4 linked regions of the Drosophila melanogaster genome follow. The protein of the gene in region 2 interacts with the protein of the main gene of each other region in a pairwise test. Each region holds a gene or a part of one and is shown on either strand. Other genes may lie near its edges.

Region 1 (4,662 bases), on a different chromosome or scaffold from region 2:
TGCCAAATGCTGACGTACTCTTCTCCGTGTTTTATCCCTAAAAACTGACGCAAATGGCATTGCAAGTACAGGAATAATGGAGCCGTGGATAGCGGGTTGGTGGGGCAAAAACCACGTGCCGAATGCGACGCATGTTTTGAGTCGAGGCGAAAACAAAGGCACGCACACTTCAAAATCGAGTAGTACACCATACTGGACTTACTTGAAACATGTGAGGTAGCAAAGTGTCGCAATTACTTTTAAACTACAAACTATTAATCACTGAACGATGCGGTTTGTACAAGTTGGTCGAAAAAAACTTGTACTTTGTGATTTCACTTGGATGCAGCCGCTGCTCAGAAAATGCAAAAGCTGAATGAATCAGAACGCTTTTGAATTGAATTTAAGCGAGGGAAGTTGAGTTTCTGTTTATGGAGTTGTTTGGTGCGAGAGAGCAAGAGATAACGCAGAGGAGAGTTGATTTAATCAAGCTGAAGCATGGATACCCTTACGTTACAAGACAATAAATGTATCTTTTGGTTATCTGGTTATTTTATGGGGTAGGAAACGCATCCCTCTTCACACAGTCATAATACATATGCTTCGAAAGGGAATATCGGGGAGAGTAAAAGAGAACCGGCATATTTGTTTGTGTCGGTCACTCGTTTTGTTTTGTGGCGAAAGAGCGCCACAAAAGGGGAGCACAAACACGTGTGTCCAAAGAGTTGGAGAAGCAAGAAGCTCTTCCGTTTTAATTAGTCTCCGAATGTCTATTGGGTATATTTCTTATCCGAAAACTGTTGTTGCGTTGGCTCTCAAAACTTCCCCACACGCTTTTGCTGACACGTTTTTTTCTCGATCGCCATTGAGCTGTGCGAAACGTGAATTTGAGCAGTAAAAGAGAATGTCGACTTTAATGATTTTTCAGGTATGAAATATGCCCTCTAATTTTTTTGATCATATTTTTATTTTGTTAACATTCAACTTATTAATAAGAGTTTGCTGAAAATGTAATCCACTTAATTGTTTATCACTTAAAAATTTTTTAGGTAAAGTTCTCTCATATTGATTTAAAATTGCAATGTGAATAAAGTAACACTTCGTGTACCCCTTTTCCAAGTATAACCATTATAAACACAGGATCGTATGGCGCATAATTAATGGCTGTCTATTATTTTTGGACTGTTGCCAAGAGAGACCTACGCCTTAGAAGATTAAACTTCTTGTTTTTGTTTATGGGGCGCAAAACAAGTTTCAAATTTCCGACCGCAGACAAGGCGGGCGAGCGTAATGGAACCATATTACTGAGGTCAAAAGAACTTCGATTATATAATAAGGCCATGTATTCAGTATTCAAGATCAGAGACGCAATGGAAAATAACCTTTGACGTGTGCCAAGGAAAAGCTGCGGCTTTTTTATCCAATGGTACAAAAACCAACTTTGGAATTGATTCAGCCAATCATTGTAACGTAAATAGATTTTATCAACAAAGAGGTAAGAATGAGTACTTCGTGTATGGGGCTTAGCTGAATTTATTAGGAAAGTAGTTTGTAAATATGGTTATTTTTATGTAGATTTTGCTTTTGTTTCTTTTCATTTGTATTATCGAAACGAGTTAGGAAAATGTGTCGGTTAAGATTCCCAGATTCTGATATGTCGCCTTCAGGGAAACAAAGTCATCATGTCATCCAGTGGACATAATTGGAGGACCAATGTTAAGAAGAAGACTCCTCCTTAAAATGTTTAATAGGTTTTAATATGATTAAATAGTTATGAGTTGAGTGAAGTGGGTGTACCTGGGTAGTATTAAGGGCGTATCTAGGCAATATATGGCTCGCAGCAAGTAGCACCAATTCATTACGTCCCTATGTAATAGTTATTTATTCATATGCTAAACATTTGAACATTCGAACTTCGTTAGCAATTTTCGCGCTCTTTCCCCGAAGCCCTATCGATACGTCAATCGATAGGCGAGCTTTCAGAATTATCCGAATGCACCGCGGCGGTCACACTACGGAAAAACAAAAAAGAAATAGCGCTGGCAAAATAGACGTGCTGAGCGCTGTAAAAAGTCAGATTCGTGTTGAAATTGGAATAATAAGTTTTTTATTTTCCGTGCGCTGGTCGAGCTCGTTGCTTCGACAATTCGAAAAGCGATCGAAAGGAGCAACCTTGTAGGCCAACAGCCAGGCGTAATTTACGCAACGCACAACACTCACAAAATCCAAAATTGCACGGGGGGGCAACAATAAAAACAGAGGCAGAACAGAACACAGCAAGAAGAGCGTGGTGAAGAGGAGCGGCGGAGAAAGGAGAACGGTGAACAGGGAACAGGGAGAGAGCAGAAAGGAGAGTCCGAGAAACGGAGGAAACATCATGGCGAACATGGCAGTGTCGCGGATCAAGCGGGAGTTCAAGGAGGTGATGCGCAGCGAGGAGGTGAGTCCCGAGCTCCAAGGCCGAAGGACACTCAAACGGCACCTCGGCAATGCCAGCTGCACCACCGCCCCTGGTCGTGGTGCAGGGGGCGGGGGAGGGTGTCCGCGAACGTTGGTGGCGTTTTTGGCGCGCTTATGGGCTCCGTTTTCTTTGTGAAATGTAAACATTGGCCCCACTGATTTGTTAATTTGGCTTGTAATCCCTGAACAGATCGTCCAGTGTTCCATCAAAATCGAACTGGTCAATGACAGTTGGACGGAGCTGCGCGGCGAGATCGCCGGTCCGCCTGACACGCCCTACGAGGGCGGCAAGTTCGTCCTGGAGATCAAGGTGCCCGAGACATATCCCTTCAATCCACCAAAGGTACGTAATAGCCATGTCAGACTTTGTGCACCTATACAATATGCTAGCTTAGAAATAAACAACTCTTACATGAGTACACCTCATCTTTCAAAAATCGTATCTTATGACTTCACTTCGTAGAAAGTGACACTTCTATGAATCCACAATGTTAACTTGAATTCTGAAAGGCGCAATAAGAACCTGTAACTTGTAATTGAAACCTAAATAAATTGCAAACTTCTTCGCAGGTACGCTTCATAACGCGCATCTGGCATCCGAATATATCGTCGGTTACGGGTGCGATTTGCTTGGACATCTTAAAGGACAACTGGGCTGCAGCGATGACACTGCGCACCGTACTGCTGTCGCTGCAGGCGCTCCTGGCCGCCGCAGAGCCGGACGATCCACAGGACGCAGTGGTGGCCTATCAGTTTAAGGACAAGTACGATCTGTTCCTGCTTACGGCCAAGCACTGGACCAACGCGTATGCGGGCGGACCGCACACCTTTCCCGATTGTGATTCAAAGATCCAACGTCTCAGGGACATGGGCATCGACGAGCATGAGGCGCGCGCCGTGCTCTCCAAGGAGAATTGGAATTTGGAGAAGGCCACCGAGGGCCTGTTCAGTTAGCTTGTCCCAGCCGCACTAGCATCAGTACCATTCGCGGCGGTGGCAGCACCAAGAACACCGGCCAACTTCAGCATCAATCCTTCAGAACGGCAATCACGCTAAATTCTTGTACACTCACGCACCAATATATTTTCGTAAATCTTATCCACGAAATTACATTGCCCTGTAGTTATAATAATTCTCTGATCTGTTCTATAATTTTATTATGATTAATGTGCACATCTTTGCCGCTGGGTGGGTCACCAGAAGGTTGAGCCAAAGGCCATGCCCGCGCCCCATTGAGCATGTGGTGTTATGTAATTGAACCCAGGTTCTGTTTCATTAATTTACGTGCAGTCGCATTTACTTGCAGGCTCTTTCTTAAACAGTACTGTTGTTTTCCATTTCAAGCTTAAACTAAAACACAAACAAAAATGATTTACAAAACAAAATAAATGTGAAGGCGAGGAGTGTATAACAAATCGAAGTCTTTGTAAATTGCGTTAAGTTAATAAATAAATAAATAAAAATATTAATAAATGTCTAATGAGAAGTTATGATTTCGGTTTGTGAAGAAGAGGCTGCAAACTTAAAATAGATTTTTGTAAATCATGCCTAGACTGAAGAATGGAAAATGTAATTTACCCTAGATTGATTGAGATATGTAATGTATATTACTATAATTCTTGTTTAATCCATTTTTTAAGGCTCTGTCTAATGCCAAAATTGAAATAAAATCCAAATTCTTGGTGATTTACAAACCAAATAATTGCACAAAACGTGAAAGTAAAATAGAACCCATCGATATCATCCAGATATAATCATTTATATATATATTCTTCTACATATTCATTTAATTTTTCTACATTTCAATGTGAATATTTATGGTTTGCACTAAATATTTGACTAATAATCTGTCACTAAATATTTGGTCTACGATGCTTGCTGGCGAATCCAATAAGTTAATGACTTCACACATATAATACGAATTTCTACTTGTGCTTTTGCTTGGACATGACGGACACGGAGGAGCCACCAGTTGCAAGTGCGGATCCCAGGCAGCTGCTGTTGCTTTGAGCCACGGATGTGCCAGTGGCATTGGTTCCCTGGATCGTGTGATGGCTGTGACGTTGCTTGAGCATCTCCTTCCATTCGGACTCGAGTCGCACGTAGGAGCCACCAAGCGGTTGGGCATTCTGCACCAGACACTGATCCGTTCCGGTCTTTTTGGTCACATAATTGGCGACCTGTTTCATGATCTTCTCCTCGAAGTCGCGCTGATGATCCTGG
Region 2 (4,500 bases):
GCTAATGCATCTATAAACGTTTAAGTCGTAATCGATAGCTCACCCACTGTGCAGAAATCACGTGACCATCCCTAATTAGAACTGGCTTCTTTCAAAACAAAGCAAACGAAATTTAAAACTTTTTCAATTTATATGTTCCATTGGTGACTCTGGTTGCAGTGAGCTTCTTGGCACGGAGCAGAATCCTTTATCGGCAATTCCCAGGAGGTGGAGCGCATCACCACAGCCAATTATGGAGCCAGTGATGAGGCGTCCCCCTCCATTGCCAACAAACTGGCCCACTTAAAGGAGGCGATCTTCTAGAGCGATCGGTAGAAGGTACATATATCATACATCTCATACTCAAGATAAGCCGATATCTTCATGTACATACATGCATCCATATCCTCAGCATCTTCGAAATTCACGTTATCCCTGATCCCTAAAAAGAATGTTGTGCAGTTTAAGTTAAGCAAAAACTTAATGATTTTTTTCACCCATCGATAATAATCTACACGGAAAATAAATTAAAATAAATGTTTTTAATGTTTTATAGAATTTAAAATATAAATTTATACAATTTTTGAAATCTACATTTGAATTAAATCATTACGATCCAATTATTTCGAAATTTCAGTTTTTTATGCTGAAGTCGTAGGGTATTGCAGACTTTTTGAAATAATTTGGGACCCAATCCACTTCTGTTTTGCGAATCCTCAAATTACAATTATAACCGAATGCTAACAATTTATGTTAATTAATCACACCAACGACTATAGCCCAACGAGTTTAACAATATTGTTGATTTAACTGGAGGATACTGCTATTTGATTACTTCGCACGCTTTCCATTGACATTTGAATATAGGTTCTTCTTATCGGGATGATCCGTGCACTATTGGAACGAGCAGCCCATATATCACAAAAACGACAAAATGCCAGAACAGTTTTGACAGGGCCCAGGGTTCATCTTCGTGTAGCCTTCTAATATCAGCTAAATACATGGGCAAATGTTATTTAATGTCAATCTCAGAACTATTGAGATGGCATGTAACCTACCAGGTGGACGTGGTTCGAAAAAGTTGAGCCTAGATGTTATGAACCCGAAAGGAAAAGCTCCAATACCGAAAGACATGTGAAATCCGTCGCCGAATCCGAATCCAGGGAACCCGGGAACAGGATCTGGTTCTGTACGTTGTCCAGCGGGGCGTGGTGGAACTTTGTTACTGCAAAACACATATAAGTTGGGTTATTGAAAAATACTCATGTTGAAAGCGGTTCAAACCTACCGTGGATCTTCCTGGTGTGTACTATTTCTTCCGTACAGCGGTATGACCTTATCCTTATCAACGGCAGCCTTACAAACGGGACAGAGTTTGCGATTGGGACGCGTCAGGAGCCACTGATGCAGGCACGGCCAGCAGAACAGATGGCCGCACATGCTGACCACAGCATCCTTGGCGGTGTCCAGGCATATGTTGCACTCGTAGAGTGAGTCGTCTGCGGTATGTTCCTTCTCCTTGTCCTTTTCGTTGGCTTTTGTGTCCGTATCGGTGCCGCCGAATGGATAGCCACCCTTCAGATCGGCCTTATTGCCACCAGATAGATAGTCTCCAGTAAAGGAATACGAAGTGTTGGACTTCTTCAGTTCCGATGCCGTCGAATTGGTTGGAATCGAGGTACCCAGCGGGCGCAATTGACTTGTAGATGACTCCTCAGCCAAGGGTTCTGTGATATCCCGAGTCCAGGCTATCTTGTCGTAGCTCACGTTGTTGGACAAAGTCGATGAGGACGACGATGCCCCGGTTGATGTGCTGGGAAGCTCCGCTGTGGATACACTTTTCGGTTCCTCCATGGTTTGCCCAAGATGCGGGTAAAGTTTTAGTCGTTCAAGCTGCAACGTAACGTTGGATGATTTAGAAACCCAAATTTGCTAAGTAAGTCTGTGTTCACCCTATTGACAAGTGCCTAGATTGCTTAGATGATTTTCCTAGGCCATTTCTGGTGTACAACTAAGGTCCGCACTTTCTTGAATATGACTTAATTTAATTAAATACTTCAAGCGCAGTTTGAAGGGGGTTTCCCCCGAGTTCCGCAGCATTCAGCATTTGTCCGACCCCATGGGGTGGTGTTTATGGCTACGAAAACCGCCCAAAGGGCGTATTTACCACCAAGTCTTCAAGGATAATGCACCGAACATTCCCATTGGCTGCACCCACATAAATTAAACAAAAAAGTCAAATTTTGTTTGAATTGCGTTGGCAAACAAGACGGTATACCTGCATATGTACCTGGACTTATGTGCGTACTTATGTACACATCTACACACTCAAACACTCGCGTGTATATAGGGCTAGAAGGTTTCCATCTACCTGTTACATATGTACATTGGAACCGATTATATGCTTATTTATACAGTACGTATAGATGTCACATAATGTTTTCATGGAGCACTTCCTATTGGAGTCAAGGGGAATTATATGCTCATATACATCGAGTTCCAGGGATTGCGTTTAAACGCATTATAACTTAATTAAACTATATATAACTTCCTGTGGCACAGCAAATAGTATAACTTCTCAAAATTACTTACATTGTAAGTGTATTGTTTGCAAAACCTGACTTGTTTGCCCTCATTTTATTGTTTGTTTTCGCTCACTGTTTGCTTCTACTTGCCGTGCTAAGTATTGTTAAACCGAATCAGAGAATGTTGCTAAATTGATTGTGTGGACAAGTCAATCAATTGACGTCTTAGCACCTCAAAACAATTGCACTGACGATACCTGACCGAGGCCGATAGACCTTTACCCTATCGGTAAATAGCTGCCTGTATAACAGCCCGTCTCCACCGGACCAAAGTCCACGCTCGCGTTAGATAACTATCGAGTTAGGTGAAAAATCTCGGATCTCAATGAATCATTTGAAAAGTGATCAGTGATCAGTCCTCGATTGATTTGTAAACAAAATAAACTACTAAATACATTTACAAGACTAAATACTATTCATTAACAGCTGTTGTGTGCCATGGACAATCGATACCAGGACTCACTCGACTATCTCTAGTTCCTAACGATCTGGTCACAACAAAGCTCAAGAATTTAATAATATTGATATTAGACTAAACCAAAACAAGGAACAGCTGATTTTTAGAACGCTAATGCGTTTAAGTCGTAATCGATAGCTCACCCACTGTACACTGTACACCATCCCTAATTAGAACTGGCTTCTTTCAAAACAAAGCAAACGAAATTTGAAACTTTTTCAATTTATATGTTCCATTGGTGACTCTGGTTGCAATGAGCTGCTTTGGCTGCGGTCGCAAATATGGCCTATTCTGCAAGGAGGCAAGTGCCATCAAACCAAAGCAAACCAACATATATCACCTACTTACATTGTGTTAAATCCGAAATTTTAGTATGGATGCCCCAACTGCGGCTACTCATTCTGCTCCAAGTGCTTGAAGAGACCAATGCCCGTGCCCCGTCATGCAGGAAAGGTGCACAATGTGTGCCTCATATGCTACGACAAACTATCCAAACTCCAGGCGAGCGCCGATGCCGAGAAAGTTATAGACTGTGATGCTTTGCCGGGGATCTTAGTCACCAAAATGAACCTGGCTCCTCCATCCAAAAGTTCAGATGGCGCCGATGCCCTATTCAAGTAAGTAAAATACCACATTAAAACACCGATTCTGAAACTATAATTCGATTAATTGCAGCGACAGCCTGCCTGTGGAGGAGCTGCCACAGGCATTGGTTCCCAGTTCCAGTTCGTCACCACATTCCAAAGATCACAAGGATCATATTGATGAGAACCTGGACAGTGAGTTGACCAAACGAATGCAGGACTATAAACGAGTTGATGCCACCGATGATGAGATCCGCACCCGTCTGGCCAATCTCACTGGGATGCCGCATACGAAAAGCTACGATAAGAAAGATCTGCTACTGTCCACCGACCAAAGAAACGATCAGGAGAAAATGAGGGACTTGCTCGCACAATTCGTTGACGAAGCCCAACTGGATCAAAATATCAGCAGGCAGAGGGATGACTCAATTTCCGACATTGAGAGACGTCTGCGAGCTCTGCGCGATACACCCGTCGATTCCGATGCATGCCCATCGAGATCCCAGATGGAAAGTATCGCGGACAACGAAGAGGATGACGAGACACTTCTACAGAACATATTGAAAAAGGTTCGCATTTATATAGTAGCATTATTTTTTTTAAGCCAAATCATCACTTTCGTATTCCCATTCAGTATGTAGCAGAATCGCGCTTACCAGAACCTTCCGAGAGTGAAATTAGTCCAATTAACACTGAGTCGCCCGGCAACACCGAAGAATTGCCCTGGTGCAATATTTGTAACGAAGACGCCGACTTCCGATGCCACGGATGTGGTGGGGAACTCTTTTGCACTCTATGCTATAAGGAGTGCCACGATGATGACGAGGAGTACCGTGCTCACGTTAAGGAAAAGTATTCGGCTCCGCCAAAGCTTAAAGAAAATCACTTCTAATTG
Region 3 (6,855 bases), on a different chromosome or scaffold from region 2:
TAACGAAATATTAATGTAACAGTGAGTATTCAATACGAGATACAGCTTTTAAAATAGATATAGAATTAAATGTAGCCAAATTTAAATAAAAAAAGCATCTTTGCTTAAAAAACTGGCAAAATACATATATTTCATAGCTTAAAAATAAGCTAATTGTTTGTCCTATTCTTTCTTACGGGTATCTACTGTACATCGAAAATACTGTGTTGAATCAGCTGTTTGTACTAAACACATCTAAAAAAAACACATCCATTCTAGGGACCACAACAACTTTTCTAAACTGTCGTCAGTATAACTTGTCAACCCAAATTGGATTGACAAATTTTTAAAACAATTATTGTACTCCGCTGAAATTAAACTATTTACCGGCGTTCAAAGCGGAAAACTCAAAAATACCTACACGCGGAACAGCTGAGTGCGGTATTTTTTAGTTTCGCTCACAATTTGTACGTGCGATGCACGAATCGTTTTCAACACTGCCCGGAGGGTCACACTATCCACTCAGATATTTATTTTTCTAATAACATTTACTTAAAAGCAGACTTTACGCAGAGCTTTGGCCACGGAGGAAACGGAACAGATAGCCAGCGAGCGGAGCAGCCAGGACTTGGAGCAGGAATCGGCAGGAACACCAGGACGGATTTCCCCAAGACAAGCAGTAGTAGTATGTCTTCGAAGTCGCCAAGCGAGGTGAGTTCCCTTTGAAGTCTTGGGATAATTTCGATATCCGAGGCGTATTCAATATAGTAGAGGGTTTTAACCGCAGCTGGGCAAATGTTAACGATCCGGAAAGGTTTCCCTTCCGCAATCGCGTGTCGGACTGCCATCCCACGAGTAGAAGGTTCAACGTCATCTTATCGTTCTAGAGATTCATAGCTGAGGAGTGACACAGCGCTCTGCAATGATAAGCTTGTCCAGCTTCTTGCTCGATCTACCAGTCCGTCTATCGTTATATAACTTATTGGTTTCTGCAGGCCGAGGTCGTCTGACCCCGGTCGCTAATTGCTGCTAACCCCGCCATAATCGGGCCGCTGTTTGTGCCCACCCACAGGCCACAGACACGGCCCAATGTCATCTGCCTCCCAATGGCCAAATGTTTACATGGCATTCATTGCACTTTCCCTTCGCCTGAATGCTTGTTTATGCCACATAAACAATGCATTTGCATTTTGGCAAAAAACCTTCGATCCTTGCCAGCTCGATGCTCTTTAGGGAGCTGTTAACCTGGCATGGGGAGTTTACTATAGCTCGCTTGAATTTCATTACTTTAAGGGTTTGCCATATGACCATAAAGTTTATAAAACCTGTGTATGTATCAAGTCTTGGCATTGTATCTTTGCTCCTTGGCAATACGTCTTATATTTAAAATTGTATTGTATATTTTACCGGTCGGGATATTTATTGTGTACCTTTTTTAATAAGCATTTTGTACCCGCGCAAATATAATCTGGTTTAATATTGTTCGTTTATGCAGCACCTTTCTCATCAAGCAATGTCTTTTGTATACACATAAGTACAATACATATGTGGCTCACGCGGATCGCTCTCCCGTCTGCCGAAAATAGAAGCTCATCGCCATTGACGCCGCTCGCATTCAGTGCTCGATGCCACGCGAATTCGCACGCGCCGCTCTGCCAGATTCTTCGCGACGCGAAATTCATAAGCCAAAACACTTCGATTCGGATCCAAAGTGCGCAGGTTTAACTTTTGCCAACCATTGATCACCGGTGGCCAAGCGTTTTTCCCAGGGATCCTCTTGTCCGCTCCTCAATTGCGACATCATTGGCACGCGCGAAACATATTAATTGCCCGGCGCTCCCATTTACTCATTAGATCACTATAAATAAACAGCAAGCCATAGCCACCACATTTTAGAACCAGTTTATAGATCGTTTTCAATACCATGAAAAGTGTTTTCAAATTTTGTTATAAATCTGATATCAGCCTGTAGTTGAAAATCAAGAAGTATCAAGCCTTCGAAGTGGCATCATGAAATATGCATGGGCCAATCCGATCACAAAGAATATCAGATTCGCCATAAGGAAGTGTTTTGCCTTGTTAGCACTCCCGCGAGTCAATTAGTGATTTATGGTTGAGTTTAAAAGGCGGTTTCGAATGGCATCCAAAGGGCAGCAGAGCAATTTAGCTGTTTGAAAGTGTCTCCTTGATAAGGTCTTGGCAATAGAGGGATTATTGAAGTCACTGACCTGCCAAACGTGATCGCTGATCGGCAGATTTAATCGCTGTAAAGTGTACCTGCGCAATTTCATTGACGTTGCGATTAATATGTCACTTTCCTCATCAGTTTTCGCATCACCTTCACAGCGAAGAACGCTTTAATCTCAGAAGAGAGACACCTTTGCATTTAAGTCGCTTACATTTCATTTTATTTTAATTTAATTACTGCGATTCCGTTGTCTTTTCCTCACAGCAACAAGTTTCGCACATTGTAATTACACACGCCTTTCACGTGTCTGCGACAACAACACGTCCTCGTTCTGATGGCTTACGTTTCCTAGATTTCCCTACGGCTATATACAATACTTCCATGTCAGCGGCAATCGGCCAAAGGAGATGCTCTAGATGCGCTATGGAACTTGTTGCTCATCCGCCGCGAACGTGACACATGTCGATTGCCGCTCTCTTCAAGCTGATGATAAAGCCGAAACTGGCGCATCAGGTTTTCGTTATTTTATAAAACGCCACTCAGCACGATCTCTGACGTCAGAATGTACGATGATGACGTACCCGATGATTTATCGACCGGTGGCGAAGGGGGCAGGTGGCTTCTTGCCAAGTTTAAGGTTGCAGCGAGTTTATTATACACACTTATGGCCCATCCCTCGGTTCTTCCGCTTTCACCTTTACCGTAATGCGCTTAGCATTTCTCCGGTTCAGGAAATCGCTTTATATGGTTTTCAGACCGGGCCTCTGGGCCTCCCACTTGCATAATTTGGCCAGAGTGTAGTGGCTTGGGTTTGTTTATTTTAGCCTGGCGTGTGATTCACAGCCCAAGGTTGGCCAGCAAATGCGATTTCCAAAACATTTTTCGTGGCGTGATTCATTTCAAATGATTTCCCCATCATGCAGAGCCACCCACAATCCAAATCTTATGTGTTTATGTCTACGCTAATCGTCCTTCACCCTCTGGCTTACCTCCAAAATACTGCGGCTATCAGCTGCCAAAATGTTTATCAGCCACAAAGATTTTGGTGGTGGCACGCTTTATTCCTCGGCCATTGTGCTTAGCCGAAAAATATTCTAGGAAAAAGCGAAATAAATAAAAAACAGACGCGTCCCCCCTTTCCAGCGCCACCAAAGTCTGGCAGTCGCTGGTTTATTTGTTTACACTCTGCTTGGCTTTTATTGCCGAAGAATTTTTCGAGTCCATTGTTTGGTTGTTTTGGCTGTTTTCATAAAATTTCCCAGGCAGCGCTCTTCTAGACGTTGGCATTCAACTGCAGTTTTATTTATTTATTTCTGGCTGATTCAAGCAGCTTTTGTTTTGCTCTCTAAGTTTGATTGAGTCTAAAATAAACGCAAGTAGCCCCCGCTGAGTGTGGCGCGTGTTTATTGGTCTGGCCTACTTCAGCGCTGATTTTTTCGCGTTTGGCGGCCCATTTGGGTCCATCATACTATATACTATACTATAGTACACTATGGTTGCGGAACTTATTTAATGGGTCCACTTAAATTGGCCTCGCTAAGTGGTTGTCGATCTGTCGCTTCATTTAGAACCAGTTCTCTGTAAACCAGTGTCCGACTTATATAATCGATCATCTTCTAGGGCCCTGCTTGATTGCTTTTAATCATGAGCAGACGCTCGTCTTCATTTCAGTTTAAAAGCCGAAGATTTCATTGTGCCATCAATTGAAATGTATGCCCCATTGACGTATGCAACCGTCTTGAACACTTGTGTTCCTTTTGTTCGAGTATGTGCAGTGAGCAAAATGAGTTCGCAATTTACTGGGAAAATGCTTCTTTATGAACTTCAGTAAGTGCTGTTTACCAGTTGAACTTCCGTAATATTAAAATTGTTGATTATATATAAATATATTTTTGGTACCTCAATGCGTAGAGCTTTTCCCACACTGTATTAACATATACGTAGGATGTGCTTATCGCCACTTCCGTCGCTGTAATCTAATCGTGTGCTTATCAGGTAATGGCTGCGTGCCAGGGCAGTGGTCCGATAAGCGTTTCTGCCAATACCTTTGGTGGAGCGAGGGGCTGTGAGAGCCACCATTTCGTGATCCGGGGACACAATCGCGACTTAAGTTTAGGACCAAACCAGCTGGACGGGCAACTTGTTCAGGTTAACGAACTAGTTTGGGCCGTTTCTCGCTGCACTTGCGAATTCTCATTTTTGATAGTGCACAACCAACGTAGATATGTATACACAGATCGGGTGAGAGCGGGGGGTGGTGCGATTGGAGAGGTGCCGAAAGCGGCGACGACTTCTACTACTTGTGCCCGACAGTACGTACACAGAGACACGTCGCTACATCGGGCTTCGTCACTCGACTCGCCCTGCAGTCTCTCCCACAATTTTCTGGGCGCTTTCCTGCAGTCGTCCCACGAACGTTGCCGCAATTGGTCTACACGAATCGGTTCGCTAATAAAATGACTGCCATGCCCCACGCCCACTCTCGCCTCCTAGGAAAAACGCTGGCATATTGAACTGTGCGACTAACTAACTTAAATACTTAAAAGCAAGCCCAGCAAGCCGAGAGCAATCTGCCTAAAAGTGACAAGTTATAGGTGACACAACAAAAGCTAAAATTTGTGAGAAACTGTGTGAAAACTAGAACTACAAAATGATGAAGCTGTTTAAAAAACCCAAAGACAAAATACCCAAATCGGAGATTTTAACCGAGCCCAAGGAGCCCAAAACACCGCCGGTCTCCAAGTGCGGAAAACCTTTGCAGTTGGACAACTCGCGATGGGAGGCAAGTATATTCGAGATATTAAACCTGAACTTTGGCCAGATATCGCGTTCGAACAACTGGTCGTTAATATACATATAGTGTTCCATTGCATCATGAGTATGTAGTATTTTGAGTTTCAAGAAATCTGCGTGAATCTTCTGTTGATTCTCTTCAAGGCTGTACCAAGATTTGTTTTTATTATTCTTGGCATTGCCAAATCCAAACCTTATCGATCAAACCCATTTATCCGCAGCTCATTTGTGGGGGCAGCGGTGCGATACTTGTTTATGGTACAGAAAACGGGCCTGCAAGTGCCAATCACTCGATAAGAAGGGGGATCCGAAAGACGGAAAAACAATCGTCGGTTCTATAAATTTCAGTGACATTTGTTTTTATCTTATCGAGCATTTCGTTTATTTATACGCGCGTAGGCATATAGCGTATATTGGCGTTTGTAAGCCAAAGGAGAAATGGCGCACCGATAAGGCGAGCGGAAAAAATAAGTCTTGAGAACTCTTAAGTAGAATGTCCCAGCTGTAGGTGTGTTTCGCGATAAGATATACGGCGAACTGTCCGAGTCATTAACTAATATAAGTCTTAAATTTTATTTTCTGCCCCACAGCGCCGCCTACACAAAGAGCTGATGTCCCTGATCAAGGAGCCGCCACCAGGCGTAACCATCGACACCGAGAGCGTACAACAAAATTTATCCGAGTAAGTATGGACTTCGAGGCGGAGTAGGCCAAGTTCAGCGACAACTGAAACTGGTTTAAATCAATTCGCAATTCAGCAATTCGCACTGAAAACAAAGCCCGCAGTTGTTGGAAGCTGACACTAATATCGCTGTTTTGTTTACAGATGGAAAATAAACATTAAAGGTTTCGAGGGCACACTTTACGAGGGCGAGGACTTCCAGCTACTTTTCAAATTCAACAATAAATATCCGTTCGATTCGCCAGAGGTAATAATTCAGTTGAACAAAGCGAAGCTGTATGGAATCTTAACCATGTTCTCTTAATTTCCAGGTGACCTTCATCGGCACCAATATACCGGTGCATCCGCATGTCTACAGCAACGGACACATCTGCCTATCCATTCTGACCGAGGACTGGTCCCCGGCGCTGTCCGTGCAGTCCGTGTGCCTTAGCATAGCCTCCATGTTGAGTAGTTGTCGCGAAAAGAAGCGTCCGCCGGACAACACGATATACGTAAAAACCTGTAATAAGAATCCTAAAAAGACTAAATGGTGGTACCACGGTACGTATGCGTGATTTTCCAACTAAAGCCCACTGACTCTAAACTTGACTAATTGTTTATTTCAGATGATTCTGTTTAGTTAAAATTGCCATTTACTAATACTGCCTGCTATTGTTTGCTTTGCGCATCCAACCAAAAAAAAAAAAAAAAAAAAAAACACCATTAGCAATACAGAAGTAGAACACGGCGAGATGCCCCCAGAAATCCAAGAAATGTGGGACGGCGGTCAAGCACTGCTCGTGAGTGGAGCATACTAAAACCCAAGTGCACTCGGATGCGAACGTAATGTGCAACAAAGTAAATGAAGTTAGCGAGAAACTTATGGGTAGTGTTTGGCAAACAATCGTGGCGCATGCAAACAATTCTAATTGTAGCTATGTGTAATCAACAAAAGGCGTGTGCGAAAAACTATTATTAAATGTTAACATTTTAATTAGATTGTTAAGACCAAATTTATGTCTAAATTAAATGTTATCCTACCATTTAACCACTAAGCGTATGCAAACCACTTGAACGTTTGATAGTTCTGGCACCTCGCGCCAGTTGCTGCTTCCACATTCCACATGCATCGTTCGCGGCATTTTCTGCCCGAGTAGCGTGACCCAGCACACACACACATCGCCTCCATCCCAGCTTATATTAATTTTGTGTATTTTATCATCATAGATGA
Region 4 (4,805 bases), about 11 Mb from region 2:
CAGCTTTCACGGCCAGCCCGGTACGGGCAAGAATTTTGTGGCTGAGCAAATTGCAGATGCTATGTATTTGAAGGGCTCCAGGTCGAACTATGTAACCAAGTATCTCGGACAAGCTGACTTTCCCAAGGAAAGTGAGGTGTCTAACTATAGGGTGAAAATCAATAATGCGGTGCGCGATACCTTGCGTAGCTGCCCGAGATCTTTGTTCATCTTCGACGAGGTGGATAAAATGCCCAGCGGAGTATTCGACCAGCTCACCTCGCTGGTGGACTACAACGCCTTTGTCGATGGCACGGATAACACAAAGGCAATCTTCATCTTTCTCTCGAACACGGCGGGCAGTCATATAGCCAGTCATCTGGGTAGTGTGATGAAGAATGGTAGGCTGCGCGAGGACACACGACTGAGTGACTTTGAGCCCCTTTTGCGGAAGGCCGCCTATAACATGGATGGCGGTATGAAAAAGACCACCATGATTGAGTCTCATGTTATCGATCATTTCATTCCGTTCCTGCCGATGGAGAAGGCGCATGTGATCAAGTGCCTGGAGGCGGAGCTTTTAAGGTGGCGGCGCGATCCTAAGCAAGCGAACAACCAAAAAATCATTGAGGACATAATAAACTCCTCCATTAGTTACGATCGCACGCACAGCTTGTTCGCCATTTCGGGCTGCAAGACGCTGGAGAAGAAGGTGGCCATGGCCATTTACTGAGAAAGGACCGACCGACTCCACATTTTAATGCTTAGTTTGGGTTTCGGTTTGTATTTAAAAAACTATTTTTTCGGAATAAAGAAAACAAATTTTAACTACCAGGGATTTAGCCACTTGAGGCGGGCATCTTTGCGCAGCAGATCGGTATCCAGTCGCTTGGGCTGCTCGTCGTAATCCTGGCGAGCCGCCAGGCGGGTATCGATGGGTCCCAGGTCCTTGGTTACCAGGCACTCGCCGTTCTCCTTGAGTATCGTATGCCGGACATCCTGGGCAGTGGGCTCTCCGTAGGGGAACGTGACCGGCGTAACCTTAATTAGATGCTTGATCTTCCACAGGCGGGCATTGTTCTCCGGTATGTTCTTGACGACAGTAAAATCGCTCTGCTTTCCGTCTAGTCCCAGATCTTTGAGGATTCGATTCTCCCAGTAGGGATTGCCCTTTAGCGGCTTGATGCGCTGCACCCGGAAAAGTTTCGCCGGCTCCACGGGTGGATCCTGGTGATCGGGAGTCCTGAGCGGGATAGATTTAGCATTAACAAATGCTGGATTTCGTGTGTTTTCCTTTTATACACTGCACACGTGAATACGAACCTGGGATAGTAGGTGATACCCTCAAATTTCTGGCCATTTTTGTAGAGGAACTTCTTGTTGTGCTTTCCGTAGCTGCGCACCGAACATGCGGTGCTCCTCAGTGGATTCAGCAGCCTTCCCAGGTTCATCTTAATTGTTTTCCCCCCTTTGTAATAAAATTAAATGCAAAACGCTTATGAAATAATTGATGTTTCCCCGACGATAACGATTACACAGACATCTGGTTAACTAGTTGCCTATCGATGGGCAGCATGGATACTGCCGTTATGTAAACCAATGTTAACCGCTTGCTGTTAAGCGATACAATTCAAATGCAAAGGCGGCAAAGTTAAAAGTGATAATTTATCATGTACAAACTGAAGATAATTTATCATTTACAAACTGAAGATAGCGAAAACATTATCAATAAGATGGTAATATATATTCGTTGTTTTTTTTTTTAATATTTCAAGAATTAGTTGAGAAAAGAAAGTTTTTAGGTCATCGGATTACACAGCCTCCAGGGGATGATGTCCATTTCTGGAAAGGGGCGGTCTCATATCAAAATCTCCGCCATTTTGTCAGCTACAATTGGCGCTAATCGACGAGGGTGGATAACTTGGCATTGGCTGGCTTTCAACGCAATGGGGTTGTTTCCGATTTTGGTTATAAAGGAGGCTGCAGCTTCCCGACCGGAAGTCAGTTCCACGTGAGCATCCATCCGGCGAGCAACCGACTCTAGTGGCAAGCAAGGATATCTGCCAGACAACTCAAGGATCTAGAATAACTCTGCACCTGTGATAACTGCTGTAAGTTCAGGCAACAAAGCCCAAAAATTGTGAGCAATGCAAATGAAGTGAATGTACTAGCGAGTAGAATAATCAAATTAAAGATACAAATAGCTGAATGAAGTCTCTAGTTCGTTTAAAATTATATCTAGAAATTTGTTAATTAGCTAACTTGACCATGTGCACGCACTCGACATGTGTAAGTGTACTGGAGTTTCATAGTCTTGAGGGGACTTGAGTTACACGACAAGTTCTTAAAACTAGATCGGATTTCCATCATCCCATGGGATCAATAGACACGTCTTCGACTTGATGCAATTCCAGTGACACTTTTTGGACCCAAAACCCATTAAATCAATAGATATAAAATCATACGTTAACCGCAACAATACAAAAAAGGGTGGCCAAGCCTAAGGGGTTGGCATCGCTGAGGTTTGCCAACTCCCGCGGGCAAATAAACGTGCCGATTGTTCAGCTATTTGTGTAGGTGTGAAAATATGCTGCGAATAAACAATACACGCACAATGCCGACAATAAGCACAATAAGTACAATAAAAATAAATGAAAATAATAGCAAACGCAAACAGAATGCAGCGAAAAAGGGGTGTGTCCTTCATCGGCAAGGACGACACACACACACACGGACACCCTTCATCACAAATGTCCACAAATGAAGCATAAATAATTCGAGTGCAAGGATTATGATTTCTTCAACGCCTATTGTAACCTTTTTTTTTTCAATAGCATGAGCGCTCCACCGCAAAGGTAGCCACACTTTTCGTCTTCCTTGAGTTTGAAATGCAGATCTGTGAAGCAATCAAGTACACATTTCGTTGTATTCATAGTCTAAGCTGTGCATCCTCTTGCTTCCATTTCCATTTCCAGCATTCAGCAGCAGGCTGGGCAGCGCAAGAAAGTCCAGTGTCCAGCACCGAAATCAGTGGTGCAAATAGCCAGAGAATGGTCTACGATATGAGCCATATGGCGGCGGGTCCGCCGCAAAGCATTTCGCTTAGTCGCTACTATCTGGTCGACGATGATGAGATGATTGGGCCAAATAATCCGCATCTGGTCAACGAGGACTATGCGGCCAGTACGACGCTGGATATCGATAAGCGTTTTCAGGCGCGAATGGCGTGCGAAACGGCCGCACAACCGGCACCGCCACCGCCGCCCACGCCGGCGCCACGTCGCCGGACCACGCCCATTGCCCATTTGGATCCATCGGAATTGGTGGGTCTATCGCGGGAGGAGCGGCGTCGTCGCAGGCGAGCGACACTCAAATACCGAACGGCACATGCGACGCGGGAGCGTATACGGGTGGAGGCATTCAATGTTTCCTTTGCCGAGCTGCGCAAGCTGTTGCCCACATTGCCGCCGGACAAGAAGCTTTCCAAGATCGAGATCCTCAAGCTGGCCATCTGCTACATTGCCTATTTGAATCATGTGCTGGAGACGCCCTGAGATAGCGCCGGCGCCTCCAGTTTCGCCACCAGCTGCCTCTTTAACGAGGCCAATTTTTTCGCCCCCCCGTAGGAGGTGGGGGGGCGTGGCGGGCGGATTTAGGGGGAAAACATTGCGAATATTCCACATCCGATAAACGCATTTCACCATGCTCTGTAATCCGCACATCGCTCCATTGGATACTTTGCCGGTGGCGGCTATGGATAATGCGATTATCGAATTAGCCATCTCACCAACTTAACCGAAGTGTTCGATGGATTTTGCCGATTTGCTAACCTATTTAACCTATGGTTAAATACATACATTTTTTTGTTTTTTGTTTTTTTTTTTCCTTGCCACTGTTGAAAGACAAATGCCCGTCGTTTCGTTTCGATTCGTTTTTTTTTTTAGGCTTAGGTTTGTTTTCGTAGAAACAATTGTAAAGCCACGATTTAACCTAAGGTTAAAATATGCCCGTACTAAATGTAGAAGATATAAGCTATTAGTTTGTGTAATTTAATTGAAAAGTAGAAATATCGAAGGAAATAACAAAACTAAATATGCCAGTAGTACATACAATTAAATTTATGGGAAAGCAGTGCTTAATCCTCGGAGTAAACCTTGATCATGGTTTATATAATATAAATAACCAAGAAAAAAAAAACAGAACCTTAAACTAAGATCCATTTTTTGTCTAGCCTTTAAGTCGTGATATTTGTTTATACTCAAACGATTAATATATACAGCATTGTAATCGCAATAAAAAATTGTCTACTTTATGTATTTTGGCGCGCCTTTGCACGACACTCCCCTCGACTTTTGGACACCAGCTGCTCTGACTGAGTTTTCCATTTGTCTGAACGCTTTGCTCGGAAAAGCCAGATGCTAACAGTTCCCCCTTTTTCACCAACCTTCAAGAACCACGTATCCACGTATCAAAAGCGGGCGTGTCCTTTGCGCCAAGCCCCGCCCATTTGTGTAAAAGCGAAGTAGAGCAGCCTCTGTCATAATTTTCAAAAATTGAGGATACATTTTTATTTTTTTGTTTTAGAAACTGTGAAAGCGTCACGGAAATTTCGACTTTTGTGCAAAATTTCGAAATGGCCCTTCATTTTAGTGCACAGCAGGTAAGACAAATTTATTCTAGTCGATTGGGAGGCTGTTTTCAATATCCATAAATAGTGGCCTAATTTGGTTGGTACGGGTAACGGGTATATATATATATACATATATATATATTTGTGTGGATCCATGGATGTAAACATTTTCGCAATAATAATAACAACAAACGTG

What was found.
Region 1: the proteins of sordd2 (region 2) and Ubc4 interact in a two-hybrid assay, tested with the Drosophila melanogaster proteins (one large-scale study listed by BioGRID).
Region 3: the proteins of sordd2 (region 2) and CG7220 interact in a two-hybrid assay, tested with the Drosophila melanogaster proteins (one large-scale study listed by BioGRID).
Region 4: the proteins of sordd2 (region 2) and HLH4C interact in a two-hybrid assay, tested with the Drosophila melanogaster proteins (one large-scale study listed by BioGRID).

What each region holds. Positions count from the first base shown.
Region 1 is NT_037436.4:9,696,337-9,700,998, forward strand, and holds Ubc4 (ubiquitin conjugating enzyme 4), read left to right. Parts: upstream 1-1,999; 5' UTR 2,000-2,356; coding exon 2,357-2,419; intron 2,420-2,629; coding exon 2,630-2,782; intron 2,783-3,009; coding exon 3,010-3,393; 3' UTR 3,394-4,145; downstream 4,146-4,662. Other genes in the region: CG6761 (uncharacterized protein), read right to left, coding at 4,365-4,662. UniProt on the Drosophila melanogaster protein: Catalyzes the covalent attachment of ubiquitin to other proteins.
Region 2 is NC_004354.4:15,796,400-15,800,899, forward strand, and holds sordd2 (suppression of retinal degeneration disease 1 upon overexpression 2), read right to left. Parts: upstream 2,764-4,500; 5' UTR 2,572-2,763; intron 1,873-2,571; 5' UTR 1,834-1,872; coding exon 1,268-1,833; intron 1,205-1,267; coding exon 1,038-1,204; intron 973-1,037; coding exon 854-972; 3' UTR 509-853; downstream 1-508. Other genes in the region: CG15602 (uncharacterized protein), read left to right, coding at 3,275-3,322, 3,394-3,638, 3,697-4,174, 4,240-4,497.
Region 3 is NT_033778.4:10,731,107-10,737,961, forward strand, and holds CG7220 (uncharacterized protein), read left to right. Parts: upstream 1-1,592; 5' UTR 1,593-1,690; intron 1,691-4,274; exon of another isoform or gene 4,275-4,713; 5' UTR 4,714-4,817; coding exon 4,818-4,949; intron 4,950-5,550; coding exon 5,551-5,642; intron 5,643-5,786; coding exon 5,787-5,889; intron 5,890-5,953; coding exon 5,954-6,185; intron 6,186-6,250; coding exon 6,251-6,264; 3' UTR 6,265-6,319; downstream 6,320-6,855.
Region 4 is NC_004354.4:4,644,592-4,649,396, reverse strand, and holds HLH4C (helix loop helix protein 4C), read left to right. Parts: upstream 1-1,982; 5' UTR 1,983-2,090; intron 2,091-2,954; 5' UTR 2,955-3,029; coding exon 3,030-3,533; coding exon of another isoform or gene 3,534-3,605; 3' UTR 3,606-4,270; downstream 4,271-4,805. Other genes in the region: torsin, read left to right, coding at 1-712; mRpL30 (mitochondrial ribosomal protein L30), read right to left, coding at 808-1,222, 1,303-1,430; CG3062 (uncharacterized protein), read left to right, coding at 4,613-4,639.